Drosophila melanogaster: one gene and its partner. The protein of the gene in region 1 interacts with the protein of each later gene in a pairwise test. Each region holds a gene or a part of one and is shown in the gene's direction. Other genes may lie near its edges.

Region 1 (7,854 bases):
TATGGACTCTCCACTTTCCGCTGCGTGGGAATCTTTGCTCATCCTACCTGTTTCCATGCCACACCAACCCATTCCCACAGCATTGTCCTCCTTATGTGAAACTCTCTAGTTCAAGTTCAGTGTGAATATTTGTGTTGACTTTATTTTTAAACTTTTGGCCATTTGTTTTCAGTTTGCTGTTTGCCTGTAACCAGATTAAGGTCAAGTTGCTTGGATGGGCTGGGATTCGGCTTGAGATCCGGTTCATTGAGTTGCCATTCGAGGCATGAGTCGCATTTTTATACGCTTTCCGGGAAAAGATCGTTAAAGTTTGAGTTTCATTGTCGTGAAAGGGGAACTTTTTTAGCCCTAGGGTTTATAAATATAATTGAAAAAAAATTTGAAATGACAATTTATTTAACATTTTTTTAATTTTCTGTAAAATATTAATCCTAAAGATGTGCACATTTTACGATGATTTCATACTATCTAGCATGTTTTGATTACATCTTTGTTTCCTATATCCAGAATTGAGATTATTGAAACAAACGCTGATATATCAATGGCATATTCCCGTATTTATGGCTATATGAAATGCTGTAATGTTCAAATGGAATAATGGCTTATATCCTGAATAATTTTGACCCACTTACGGCTCGTAAACTATCCTATTAAATGGATTTGCCGGCATATGATATCCAACCCTCTGGCTGACTCCTGTCCGCATATTGTACGCTAGTCGAGTCAAATATGGCAATCGCGGCCTAAATGGGAACGCCTCAGTTTTCCCCTATTTCCCCTGGAATTTCCACTTCGCCAACGGAGAAAGGGAAGCAACCTCACTTCAGACGTGCATGTTGGCACATTTGCGTTGCGGATTAGCGCGGAATACTCTTTAGGATTATGATCGTTGGGCAAATCTGTTGCTCCTGCGAATGCGTAACGGATGTCGACAATTCCCTCAATCTCTGACTTTTGACAAATGTTTCATTTCTTGCTGCTAAATGGATGCAAAGTACTATCAATACAAAGGAAACACTTTATTGGAGTTTTGGCTTTGATTTATTTTTTAATTTTTTATCATAAATTAGCTAAGCTCTAGTTATTCCAATATACATTTAGTTGAAGTATAAAATTTGAGGTATATATTGCATTATATGGCCATAAAAGACGTCGGATTAACTTGCATATCTAACATTTTTGTGGGCAAATTAGCGGCAAAACTAAAAACATTTAAGATACGTGACCTAAGTCAATAAACTTGTATTTACGTGCGAATTCCAGCCATTCGGTACATTTAGGTAAATGGCCAATTTCTTTGAGAGTGACAGAAAAAGTGACTCGATGGAAAATAAAGCAGCAGGAGTTCCAATGGCTTAGATTTTGCCAAAACTGCGCCAAAATCACGTTCGAAAACTATCAATGGCAGGATTCCGGCTGTGGGTCATCCTCATCCTGGCTGTGGATGTGTGTGAGTGTGGTGCATATAAATTTCGCCACCTCCTAAACTCTCGTTTTGTTTGGCAGTGTGCGTGGGACATCATTTGGGTATTATGTGCTCGCACAGACACCAGAATATTTGTGTGTGTGTCTGTGTGCATATAGATATAAGTGAAACTCCTGCGGTCGGCAAAAGTCAACCTGTTGAATGCAGGAGTCACTTGGAGTGAGATGGCAGCTATTTTCGTCTCGCCATTCGGCAAAAATGATCTGAGCAAATTAGTAACATTGCGAAAAGTCAATTGCCCCGGGTAAACAGGTAAAAATCCAGTGCAGCCAATGGCAGGTTGTTTTCTCAGGATCAGGTAACAGATCCTTTTCGGGATCAGTTGGGAAACTGTTAAAAGTGCTTGTGCCGCTGGAAAGCGGCTCAGTTGCAAACAGGTGATTGCAGGGATATGAGCAAGTGCTGAGAAGGTGCTCGCAACAGTCTCAAAGCAGGATCTATAAAAAAGGATATCTTTAAAATGACTAACCATCGGCGAGTGCGCAAGGATTGCTATGAGAGCAGATTGCATGGTCGGTTGTGGTTTTTGGCAACGAAATATATCAACGTTCATTTTTTTTAGTTTGTTACCAACTTTCTCCTCTGTTACTAAAAATGCTTTTTGGTTATTTCGATTTTTGCAGATATAGCCAAAACGTGTGCCATGAAGGAGAAAAGCAAAAATGCGGCACGCACGCGACGTGAAAAGGAAAACACGGAATTCTGTGAATTGGCCAAATTACTGCCGCTGCCGGCGGCGATTACTTCGCAACTGGACAAGGCCTCCGTCATCCGGCTGACCACGTCGTATTTGAAAATGCGCCAAGTCTTTCCCGATGGTAAGTTCAATCGGAAAATCGTCCTGCGGAAAAACTCACTTGATTGGCGCTCAATTTGTCGCCGCTCTTGGCTTTTCATCTCGTGTGAAATGCGCCTTGTGGCTACACGGCAAATGATGCGGAATCTTTGACAGCCACGCGACCGACACGCTCATTATAATCCAAGCTCGTCATATCCTCGCAGCAGGACATGCTCCTTTGTTTTCACTTTAACTCCAATGTACTTGCAATGATTTCATTTCATTCCATTTTACGCTGCCAGTTTTCAAGTTTAAGCGGCTATGTTTGTTTAAAGCATATGTTGGCGAGAATCGGCCAGGGAAATAACAGGGAAATAGCACTCAACAAATGGGCAGACAATAAACAGCAGGATGAAGTGGGCGGCTGGTTGGGGTTGGCGAAAACACAATGGCGGCTGCTTGGTTGTTTCACTCAAAGAGCAGCGAGAGCCGCACTGGAAAACCGAACTCGAACATCTCCCCCCCCCCCCCCCCCACACACACACACACACACACACATTTCCCGAACTTTTCCCCACCGACCATGTGAGCGTGCGCCACTGAGATTTTCTGCTGACAAAGAGGGTTGCTCGAGAAGTGAGTGGGTGGGTGGTTCGTTGGTCGGTCGGTTGGTTGGGCGTTTGACGCTCCCATTGTTGCCGCACCGTTTTGTGCTTTTCTTTTCAGCCTTTATTGAAATAATTATTTTAATAATAGGCAACAAACAACGAGATCCGGACGGGCCAAGGAAGTGCCAGTGGTATTATGTACAACACAATATATGTTGTATATATGGTGCGAAGTCGATGAAAGTCGGGGGGGGTGGGCCAGTGGGTGGAATGGTGGGCTGTGAATGGGCCACCTACGGCGCTCGATGACTTTAATTGGGAATAATATTTAGACGTCAGCAGTGGCAAGTAGGGCGTGTGCTGCCACTGCCACTGCTGCTGGTGGGAATTTTGCGAATTAAGATACTTCGAGCGGATGACAAACAATTAATTCAGGACATTGGGGCGGATAAGACAATAGAAACGGGAGCTTGACATAATACTAAATCCAAGTCCAATCAAACGGAGACAATAGAAAGGACAGCTTAAATATAAAACTATATAAAAATCATTTAAAACGGAATACAATTTGATTGTATTAAGTAGCAAGAACTTTTTAGATTTCATTTTTAAAGACAATAAAACATGTTTCATAAATCTAAATCTTATTTTGTAGGTCTTGGCGAAGCCTGGGGCTCATCGCCTGCCATGCAACGCGGCGCCACCATCAAGGAGCTGGGCTCCCATCTGCTGCAGACGCTGGACGGATTCATCTTCGTGGTGGCTCCGGATGGCAAAATCATGTACATCTCGGAAACGGCCTCCGTGCATTTGGGCCTCAGTCAGGTGAGTGTCGGTGAATGGATCTCTTGTCCTGATTTATGCGCATAATTTGCCGGGCCACCTGAATTTGCCTTTTTGTATCCTGGCCACCACTTGCATTTGCAAGTCAATGGGCTTGAATGGTGCAGGTCACCCAAGTGCTGTGGCTTCAGTAAAGACGATTCATTTGCATTTGCCCACTAATTGGCACTCAGTGCTGGTGGAGCAAATTAACATAGCTCCACTTATATGATCAGCATAAAGAAATTAACTTTACATCAGTATAGGATATATTTTATATAAATTTAATATTTAATGGTTTATTTATCTCTTTTTTTTAACCAGGTTGAGCTGACGGGCAACTCGATATTCGAGTACATACACAACTACGATCAGGACGAGATGAATGCCATTTTGTCGCTGCATCCGCACATCAACCAGCATCCAGTGAGTAGAGCATCCGTGTTTCCACAGAGTCCTTTGAAACATTTGAAAATGTTTGCGCTCTCTTTCTTTCTCTCTCCATCTCTCTCTCTCTCTCTCACTGCCATGCATCCATCCTACTCTGACTTGTACTCACGCCACAGGCCGCCTTTCTCAACTCCCTACAGCTCGCCCAGACGCACACGCCCATCGGCAGTCCCAATGGCGTCCAGCATCCATCCGCCTACGACCACGATCGCGGATCGCACACCATCGAGATCGAGAAGACCTTCTTCCTGCGCATGAAGTGCGTCCTGGCCAAAAGGAACGCGGGCCTCACCACCTCCGGATTTAAGGTAAAGAATTTTATACATACCATTCCTTTAAATGGATTGATTGCTTATCCTTGTATTACTTGATGATTTTAGGTGATACACTGCTCCGGCTATCTGAAGGCTCGCATCTATCCCGATCGCGGGGATGGACAGGGCAGCCTCATCCAGAATCTCGGCCTGGTGGCCGTCGGTCACTCGCTGCCTTCATCCGCCATCACGGAAATCAAGCTGCACCAGAATATGTTCATGTTCCGGGCCAAGCTGGACATGAAGCTCATCTTCTTCGATGCACGGTAAGTGTAATTCAAATTTCCATTTAATTAGGGCACAAATAGATGAATAGTTCGTTGTCTGCATATTTTCTATCACTTTGTATTGAAATCCACTCGAGAAATTCCTATAAATCTTACAACATCGATTTATTGGATGTTTAAATATCCTTAATGTTTAATATCCTTAAATATCATAATGTAATTCTAAGACCAATTTTTATCCGTGTAGCCTGGTGCTTTCACAGCATAATTTTTCTCACTGCACTTAAAAAATTCTCGAAAGTATCCTTTGCCTGTTTGCCGTATATTCGACACTAGGCAAATATTTAAACGGGCCGCAGAATTCGTTTTTTACACCACGATAAAAAGTACCAGCAGACGCCCCCAAAAAGATAATGTTTTCAAAGTGGCGGAAAACAAAAAAAATAATCGAGTAGGGAAAAGGAAATGTAAGCAAGACGGTGGCGACATGACAAAAGGAAAAACAAATCATTTCCCTCTTGAGCTTGATTTTCCTTTGTCCCTGTGCGTGTGTGTGAGTGTGTGAGTGAGTGCTGAGGGGGAAAGGGGACGCTGTGTAAGTGCCTGCCGGGCCAAAAAACCAGCCCACTTTGTCTGACATTATTGTCACTCAATTACCCTCATGATGCCACACAGCATATTGCCATCCTATTCTGGCGCCCTCGCACTTTCGCAGCAAACAACCCCAAAGTGCTGAGCGGGAAATCAGCCCCTTTTTCGCCGCTTCTTTTTTTTTTGTTTTCCTGCATAATTGAATTGGAGTCGGCAAAAGTAAACCAACCGAATAAAACACGCCAGCGACAAAGGCAACACCAATGACCATTCATTCACTGTTTAAATAAGCCAGCGAAACTTTTGCCCTCGACCTCGAAACTTATCCCCATTCTCATGCTCATCCTTTTGCCTGTTTATTTGCTTACAGCGTATCGCAGCTAACAGGATACGAGCCGCAGGACCTCATCGAGAAGACCCTGTATCAGTATATCCACGCCGCGGACATCATGGCCATGCGCTGCTCTCATCAAATCCGTAAGTACACTCATCCCAATACACTGCCATAATAATTTCCATAAAACATCATTCTCATCGAGTTTGTTTCTTCTCTCCCTATCAATAGTGCTGTACAAAGGACAAGTGACCACCAAGTACTACCGCTTCCTCACCAAAGGCGGCGGCTGGGTGTGGGTGCAGTCGTACGCGACACTGGTGCACAATTCGCGATCCTCGCGAGAAGTGTTCATCGTGAGCGTGAACTATGTGCTGAGCGAACGAGAGGTGAAAGACTTGGTGCTGAACGAGATTCAGACGGGCGTTGTGAAGCGGGAGCCCATATCGCCGGCGGCTCAAGCGGCACAGGCAGCTCAAGCGGCCCAAGCGGCCCAAGCGGCACAGGCGGCACAGGCGGCACATGTGGCTCAAGCGGTGCAGGCCCAGGTGGTGGTGGTGCCCCAGCAGTCGGTGGTGGTGCAGCCGCAGTGCGCCGGAGCAACGGGTCAGCCGGTGGGTCCGGGTACGCCAGTTAGTCTGGCCCTCAGTGCAAGTCCCAAGCTGGATCCGTATTTCGAGCCAGAGCTGCCGCTGCAGCCGGCCGTAACGCCCGTGCCCCCAACGAATAATAGTAGTAGTAGTAGCAACAATAACAACGGCGTGTGGCACCACCATCATGTGCAACAGCAGCAGCAGTCCGGCAGCATGGATCACGATAGCCTGAGTTACACGCAGCTTTATCCGCCCTTGAACGACCTGGTGGTGAGCTCGAGCAGCAGTGTGGGCGGTGGCACCGCCTCAAGTGCGGGCGGTGGATCCAGTGCGTCGGCCTCGTCCTCCGGCGTTTACTCCACGGAGATGCAGTATCCGGACACGACCACCGGCAACCTGTACTACAATAACAACAATCACTATTACTATGACTACGATGCGACGGTGGATGTGGCCACCTCGATGATACGCCCATTCTCGGCCAATTCGAATAGCTGCTCGAGCAGTTCGGAGAGCGAAAGGCAGCTGTCCACCGGAAATGCCTCGATTGTGAACGAAACATCGCCCTCACAGACGACCTACAGCGATCTGAGTCACAACTTCGAGCTGAGCTACTTCTCCGACAACAGTTCGCAACAGCATCAGCATCAGCAGCAGCAGCAGCATCTGATGGAGCAGCAGCATCTGCAATACCAATACGCCACCTGGTGATCCTAAAAATGTAAATAACCAAATGTTGGACGATGAGCCTTGACTGCTACTGTACTGTTGTTTATAAAACGTCGACTGCCCCCACCCCACCATCCGTTGCAATGTTATATACACCTCTGAGTTCTCAGTTCGAAATTGTAATATGTGGCTGAGCCACACACCATCTGAATTTCAGGACCTCCTCTATGCCTCTATTTTATTTATTTAACACCCCCACCATGCATTACCCAATGCAATGCGTTCGCGTTAATTGTGCAGTGTAAAGTTACAAAGAAATTGATACAAAATGCTAAGAAATTAAGAATGCGGAATGATCGTTGTTAACAAATGCAAAAGCAAATACAAATTCTAATAATAAATAGTTGTAAGGCCTAACTGTAAACTGTTCATACAAACTAACTTAAATTAATTGCACATACTTATACTTATAACTATATAGTAAAGCGCATACACTTGGCCCCCATAATCATGCATACACATCGGATCTACGAATATACATATGTATATGCAATAATGTGTAAATAGTGCAGGGTCCGCTCCACTATGCAGTTAACGAATATGATCTTCATAAGTCAAGTAAATAATTGTAAATGTAAAATCTATTATTATCGAGAATTTTTCTAATTTGAATAAACAAATTATTACGTGGGTGAACAATAAAAAAAGAGCGAGAGTTCGATTTTTTCAAATAAGCGCCGCTGGAAGCCTCTAGAGTTATTATTTAATTTAGTAATCTTGGTTTACAAATAAAATGTTATTTTCAAAAACTAGCACCTTTATCTATTTCCATTATCTTTGTTTTAAAATTATCTATTTATATGCTTTTATATATTTCACAATTTAGCGTTTTAATCAAATTTTGTATGGATTGAAAAATGCAGCTTTGACGCAATAGCCGATTTTAAAATATTTCGTTGCATATTTTTAGGTAACATACTAA
Region 2 (5,461 bases), on another chromosome or scaffold:
CCAAAAATGCTCTTAACTGGAATGACATGTGAAAAGCGCCAAAATCTGTGAGGCGATCAAATGGACACGTACGTCAGGAAGCAGGAAAAATCAAAAAAGAACTCTTGTGGGTGGAAAATGGAAATGCAAAATGAACAAAGGCCAATCCGAAAACGTGAGAAAATTCAGTCAAAACGATTCATTTTATAACTGCCGACGCCAGATGGTAGGCATAACTCCAAATGAGGGGGAAAAGAATATATAACTTGCAAAAATGATACGATATATATGCCATATCAATAATTGAACGATTCAATCAACTGAACAATAATGGGAATGTAACCTCATTTGCCTTTTATATTCGTTTTAATTTTTTCATTATCATTGAATCCATTCTGGACATTGTCAAGTCTTACATTTGCGCGATTGTTCCTGAATTTAATTAAAAAAGAATGAATGACAAAAATTATATTTGCGGAATACAACAAATAAAAATGAAACCAGCTCCCCAAATGACAATTGAATGAAAACAACAACAATCAACAATCGAAAACAACAACAATGCAGGAACGAACAATAAAACGCGAGTCTTTCTCTTTCACCGCGGAGAATCGGTGAATTTCGAATGGGTTAAGCGGTGAGGGTGATTTCTGGCGACAGGATAATGGTTAATATTGTATTCGAATAATAGTAATCACGGCACAACTTGACTCATCTCTCACCTGCCATTATGCGATCAAATTAAATTTACATTTATTTAATTTTCAACTGCACTCTGATACTGTATTTATACTGATAGATTTTTATCAGATAAATATCTGATAAATAAAATGTTTTTCAGTTTGCACGGCACCATAACAAAGAAAGAAAATCTATTATTAGCTTAAGTAATTATTAAATTAGACAGAAAACATATTTAGAGTTTATTTATCCAACTACGAGTATTAGAAGTTTATCATGAATTATTTTACAACTTCCACTAATTTGAACAATATTCTTAAGACAATTTTGATTGTCACTATTCCGCAAAAATGAAATTAAAAATGCATCAGCTAGCTTATTTATTTATTGAATTTGATAGCAAAACACATAAAGAGTATATGTGCTAATAATTTAAAACGTTTATCCTTATTTGTTTTACTCTTTACACTTATTTTAACTGGATTCTAAAAGAATATTTATTTATATAAAATAAGGAATTCATCATAAATTGTATCACAAATGTAACAATTATTTATGCCGCATGTGGGTGGGGAGCGATTTTAGGAAACAGGATCCTGCATTCATCCTACACTGTGTGCTATTATCACTCACTTAGTGTCCTCGTCTGCTAAGTGAAATGCTGAAAACTCAGAAAGAAAAATGTGACGCGGACAAAACTTTTTCCATTACACAACGTACAACAGTTTTTGCTTTCATTATTATTTGAGATTCGTTGTTGTTGCCGTTCTACGTTGTCCTTTCTTCCTTTTTTGGGGAAAGCAGACACAACGGAAACGTTGCGAACGCTGAAAGCTTTTTATGCTCTTACGCTATGGGCCAGGTATAAGAGCTTTGTAAATGCAATTGGAAATTGCACTAAGCTTTGGTGCATCGTTGTGTGGGTGCGTGCATGAGCAGGAGAAAGGCAAAGAGAAGGGTGGGATAAAAGCTCAAAGGGGAGAATGGTTTTACTTTTGGGGTTATGGAGTTTTAAAAAATATAATAGAATATTGCAACCTTATTCCTGAAAGAAACATTTTTATTAAAACAACGGCTCTTGGGGTCAAGATGTTGTTTAATGAAGCAATGTTAAACTCTTACAATCTTTGCATCACAAAAGCCATAAATTATGTCTTCGTTTCGAAAGAGAGGTAAATATGTGTGTTAACAAGAATTTGAAAACTTATTATTATTATTTGGGAAACTCTTTTAGTTACGAATGAAAAAAACATTAGTTTGCGGTAGATTTAATTGTCAATTATTCGATTGCCCTTGTCCTTTCAATCAACATTAAAAGGTTTGTTTTCTTTTGCTACTGCTTATTTGGTAAACCAAAAAGAAAAGCTGGCTAAAACATCTTTTCTATAATAAAGCACAGAGGACCGTTCTACATGCATCTGGGTGAAGATTTGCCTCACTTCCACTGGCTCCTTTGTGGGCTTCTTTCTATGGCCAAATAAGTAAATAATTGCAGTAATATCCTTTCTGGAGCGGCCAGGAAGAAGTGGCAAAAAGGGAACGGAAAAGAATGGAGAAGAATGGCGAGCGAAATGAAAGAATGCGAGAATGGAGAGCGGGGCAAGAGAATGGAAAGCGTGTTTCCATGTCCTTTTCACAAACTAAAAAGTCCTTTCACACACACACATAGTACTGACTACAGAGTACACATAGAGAACGGTATATAGCAGAACACAGACACCCACAATGGACAAAAATTCACACCAAAGACCCATTGTGATTGGCCCAACAAACACGCACACACATACGCGGGGAGAGAGTTGTGTTCTCTCCCTCTCTCGTTCTAACTGCATAGGAGATGCGGAAGTGCAACGCCGCCGTGCAAACAATAACGGAAATTGTGTGCCCACTGTGCGAAAATCAATGTGCTCCCGCGCTCGCCCTGGCTCTCTTTCTCTCTCTCGCTCCGTACTTTGAGCTCCCCCTGCCCCACAGGATTGGGGTCGCTAAATCGAATAACACGAAGCACAGCCGAACGAGAGCTGCCTGGCTTTTGGCTCTATTGAGCTCCTCTATTGAACACACCCCTCAATGGGCGAACAACTATAACCGATATAAAGGAGCCAATGGAACAAAGCCAGTGGAACAATGGGCCGCAAAACGAAAGAGAGAAGACGCTATGTGTGAGTGAGAGCGCGACGACGGCGCAGCTCTCTCCCAGGTAAGAAGCCCAGCCTCTATCCCGCTCGCACCCACGTGGCTTACGTAAAGGTAATGGTGCGAGGGTTGCTCGCACTTCGTGCTCAACTCTCTTCCGAGAGAAACGGGATTTGGCTGCAGTCGTGTAGGCCGCACTGGAACACTACTGAAATCAGTCACAAAAAAGCAGTCGATCCGAGCAGAAGCAAAGCAAGAGCAAAGCAGAAGCAAAAGCAAGACAGTAATTGACATAGAGACAAAGAAAAAATCTGAGAAATCACAGTTGAACCACAGACATATTGTGTTCTAGAAAGTGAAGTGTTGATCTTGAAAGAAGCAAAAGTTAAACAAAGTGTTCAAAATAGCTGGAATGGCCACCTTATCGACACACCCCAATTACGGTTTCCATTTGGGTCAGGCCCAAGGCTTGGAGGACTACGCACCGCAAAGTCAGCTCCAGCTGAGTCCCGGCATGGACATGGATATCAAGCGTGTGCTGCACTACTCCCAAAGCCTGGCAGCCATGGGCGGATCGCCCAATGGACCCGCCGGCCAGGGTGTGAACGGATCCTCGGGCATGGGTCACCACATGTCCAGTCACATGACCCCGCACCACATGCACCAGGCGGTCTCCGCCCAACAGACCTTGTCGCCCAACAGTTCCATCGGATCCGCCGGCAGTCTGGGTAGCCAGAGCAGCCTGGGCAGCAATGGCAGTGGTCTCAACTCCAGTTCGGGTCACCAGTCCGCCGGCATGCACAGTTTGGCCACATCGCCGGGACAAGAGGGTCACATCAAGCGTCCAATGAACGCGTTCATGGTCTGGTCCCGCCTGCAGCGTCGTCAGATCGCCAAGGATAACCCCAAGATGCACAACTCTGAGATCTCCAAGCGCCTGGGTGCCGAGTGGAAGTTGCTGGCCGAGTCGGAGAAACGACCATTCATCGATGAGGCCAAGCGCTTGAGGGCCCTGCACATGAAGGAGCACCCGGACTACAAGTACCGGCCACGCCGCAAGCCCAAGAACCCACTGACCGCTGGACCCCAGGGTGGACTGCAGATGCAGGCCGGCGGCATGGGTCAACAGAAGTTGGGAGCTGGACCGGGAGCTGGAGCCGGAGGCTACAATCCATTCCATCAACTACCGCCATACTTTGCACCCTCACACCATCTGGATCAGGGTTATCCAGTGCCGTACTTCGGTGGATTTGACCCACTGGCTCTATCGAAATTGCATCAATCCCAGGCAGCGGCGGCGGCGGCGGTCAACAATCAGGGTCAGCAGCAAGGACAAGCCCCGCCCCAATTGCCGCCCACCTCGCTGAGCAGCTTCTACTCGGGCATTTATTCCGGCATCTCGGCACCTTCGCTGTACGCCGCACACTCCGCCAATGCCGCCGGACTCTACCCATCCTCGTCCACCTCCTCGCCGGGATCTTCGCCCGGAACCATCACGCCAAATGGTATGGATGGTTCCATGGACAGTGCCCTGAGGCGACCGGTTCCGGTGCTCTATTAGAGTCGAGTTTTAGGTTAGAGTACAGAGTAGAGTACAATTGTTGACGCATTCCCAAAGTGATCCACTGGTTTTAAATCTTCAAAAGCTCTAAGTAAGCCAATCCTCCAAACCACTCCGCTTAATTCTAGTACAATCTTCGCGCACTTCAGATCTAGAGAGTAAGGAGGGAACACACAAAACATTCCTAGCCAATACACAAACTATAAATTATAATTTATTTAGCGCACTCACTATACCGCAAAGAAAATTAAAAAAGATAAACCTAATTGTAAATTAATTTTATTTAGTTTTAAGCATCGAGCGAGCGCCTCCTTCTTGTTGTTTTTTTTCGCATCAGCACCTACCTAAAATGTAGCTTATAGTTTTAATTGTCTAACCCTCTCAAATTGTAAATATCCCTGCAACTATTCGTTAAAGTCTCAGTGTAGCCCCAAATGCGAGGAAAGAACGTACATCAATGTATTATTGTATTATTAATTGTATTGTAAAAGTTATCATCTAAGCGAATAATGGTTCATGAAGGCCAACACAAAACAAAGACATTTAAAAGTGAATAAAAACAAAATGATTTGAGAAAACCAAATTTGAAAACCTGTTTATTCTATTTCAAATAATTTACAGCTTGGAAGATGTGAAACTGGCAATTGGTTTTGAAATGAATGATGATGATTCTCTACCAAATGTAATCACATTAAAGACATAGGTAGAGTTGTTGTGACTGGAATCAGACGAAGTTATCATATATATATATATACCGGGAAAAAGCTGAAAAACAAAAAAGATAATTTTAAGCCTTTAATAGAATGCATTTCCCATTTTCTTAGCCAGCATACCACATTTTACAGTTATGTTATAAATTTACTTTAAACATATGCCCAAGCTATATGTGACTTAAATTTTTCAGCTGATTATATTTTATACTCCATAATTGGATTATCATATTTAAATTCGAATTTGTGTCTGTATTTTTCATAACCTTTAAGATTATACAGGGTCGTGCTCTGAGCATGCATCAAAATTATCAACGAAATTAATAACGAATTTGAATATTCATAAGACCATTAACATAATATTCTCAACTGGATTGAGTGAGTCATTCGGATA

The links.
Region 2: the proteins of sim (region 1) and D interact in a two-hybrid assay, tested with the Drosophila melanogaster proteins (one study listed by BioGRID).

Annotation. Positions count from the first base shown.
Region 1 is NT_033777.3:13,070,553-13,078,406, forward strand, and holds sim (single-minded), read left to right. Parts: upstream 1-1,846; 5' UTR 1,847-1,946; coding exon 1,947-1,998; intron 1,999-2,109; coding exon 2,110-2,304; intron 2,305-3,527; coding exon 3,528-3,697; intron 3,698-4,018; coding exon 4,019-4,120; intron 4,121-4,260; coding exon of another isoform or gene 4,261-4,284; coding exon 4,285-4,452; intron 4,453-4,524; coding exon 4,525-4,724; intron 4,725-5,646; coding exon 5,647-5,753; intron 5,754-5,841; coding exon 5,842-6,914; 3' UTR 6,915-7,572; downstream 7,573-7,854.
Region 2 is NT_037436.4:14,175,086-14,180,546, reverse strand, and holds D (dichaete), read left to right. Parts: upstream 1-1,926; 5' UTR 1,927-1,978; intron 1,979-2,054; 5' UTR 2,055-3,208; coding exon 3,209-4,357; 3' UTR 4,358-4,937; downstream 4,938-5,461. UniProt on the Drosophila melanogaster protein: Essential for segmentation and CNS development. May modulate the actions of other transcription factors, including gap and pair-rule proteins.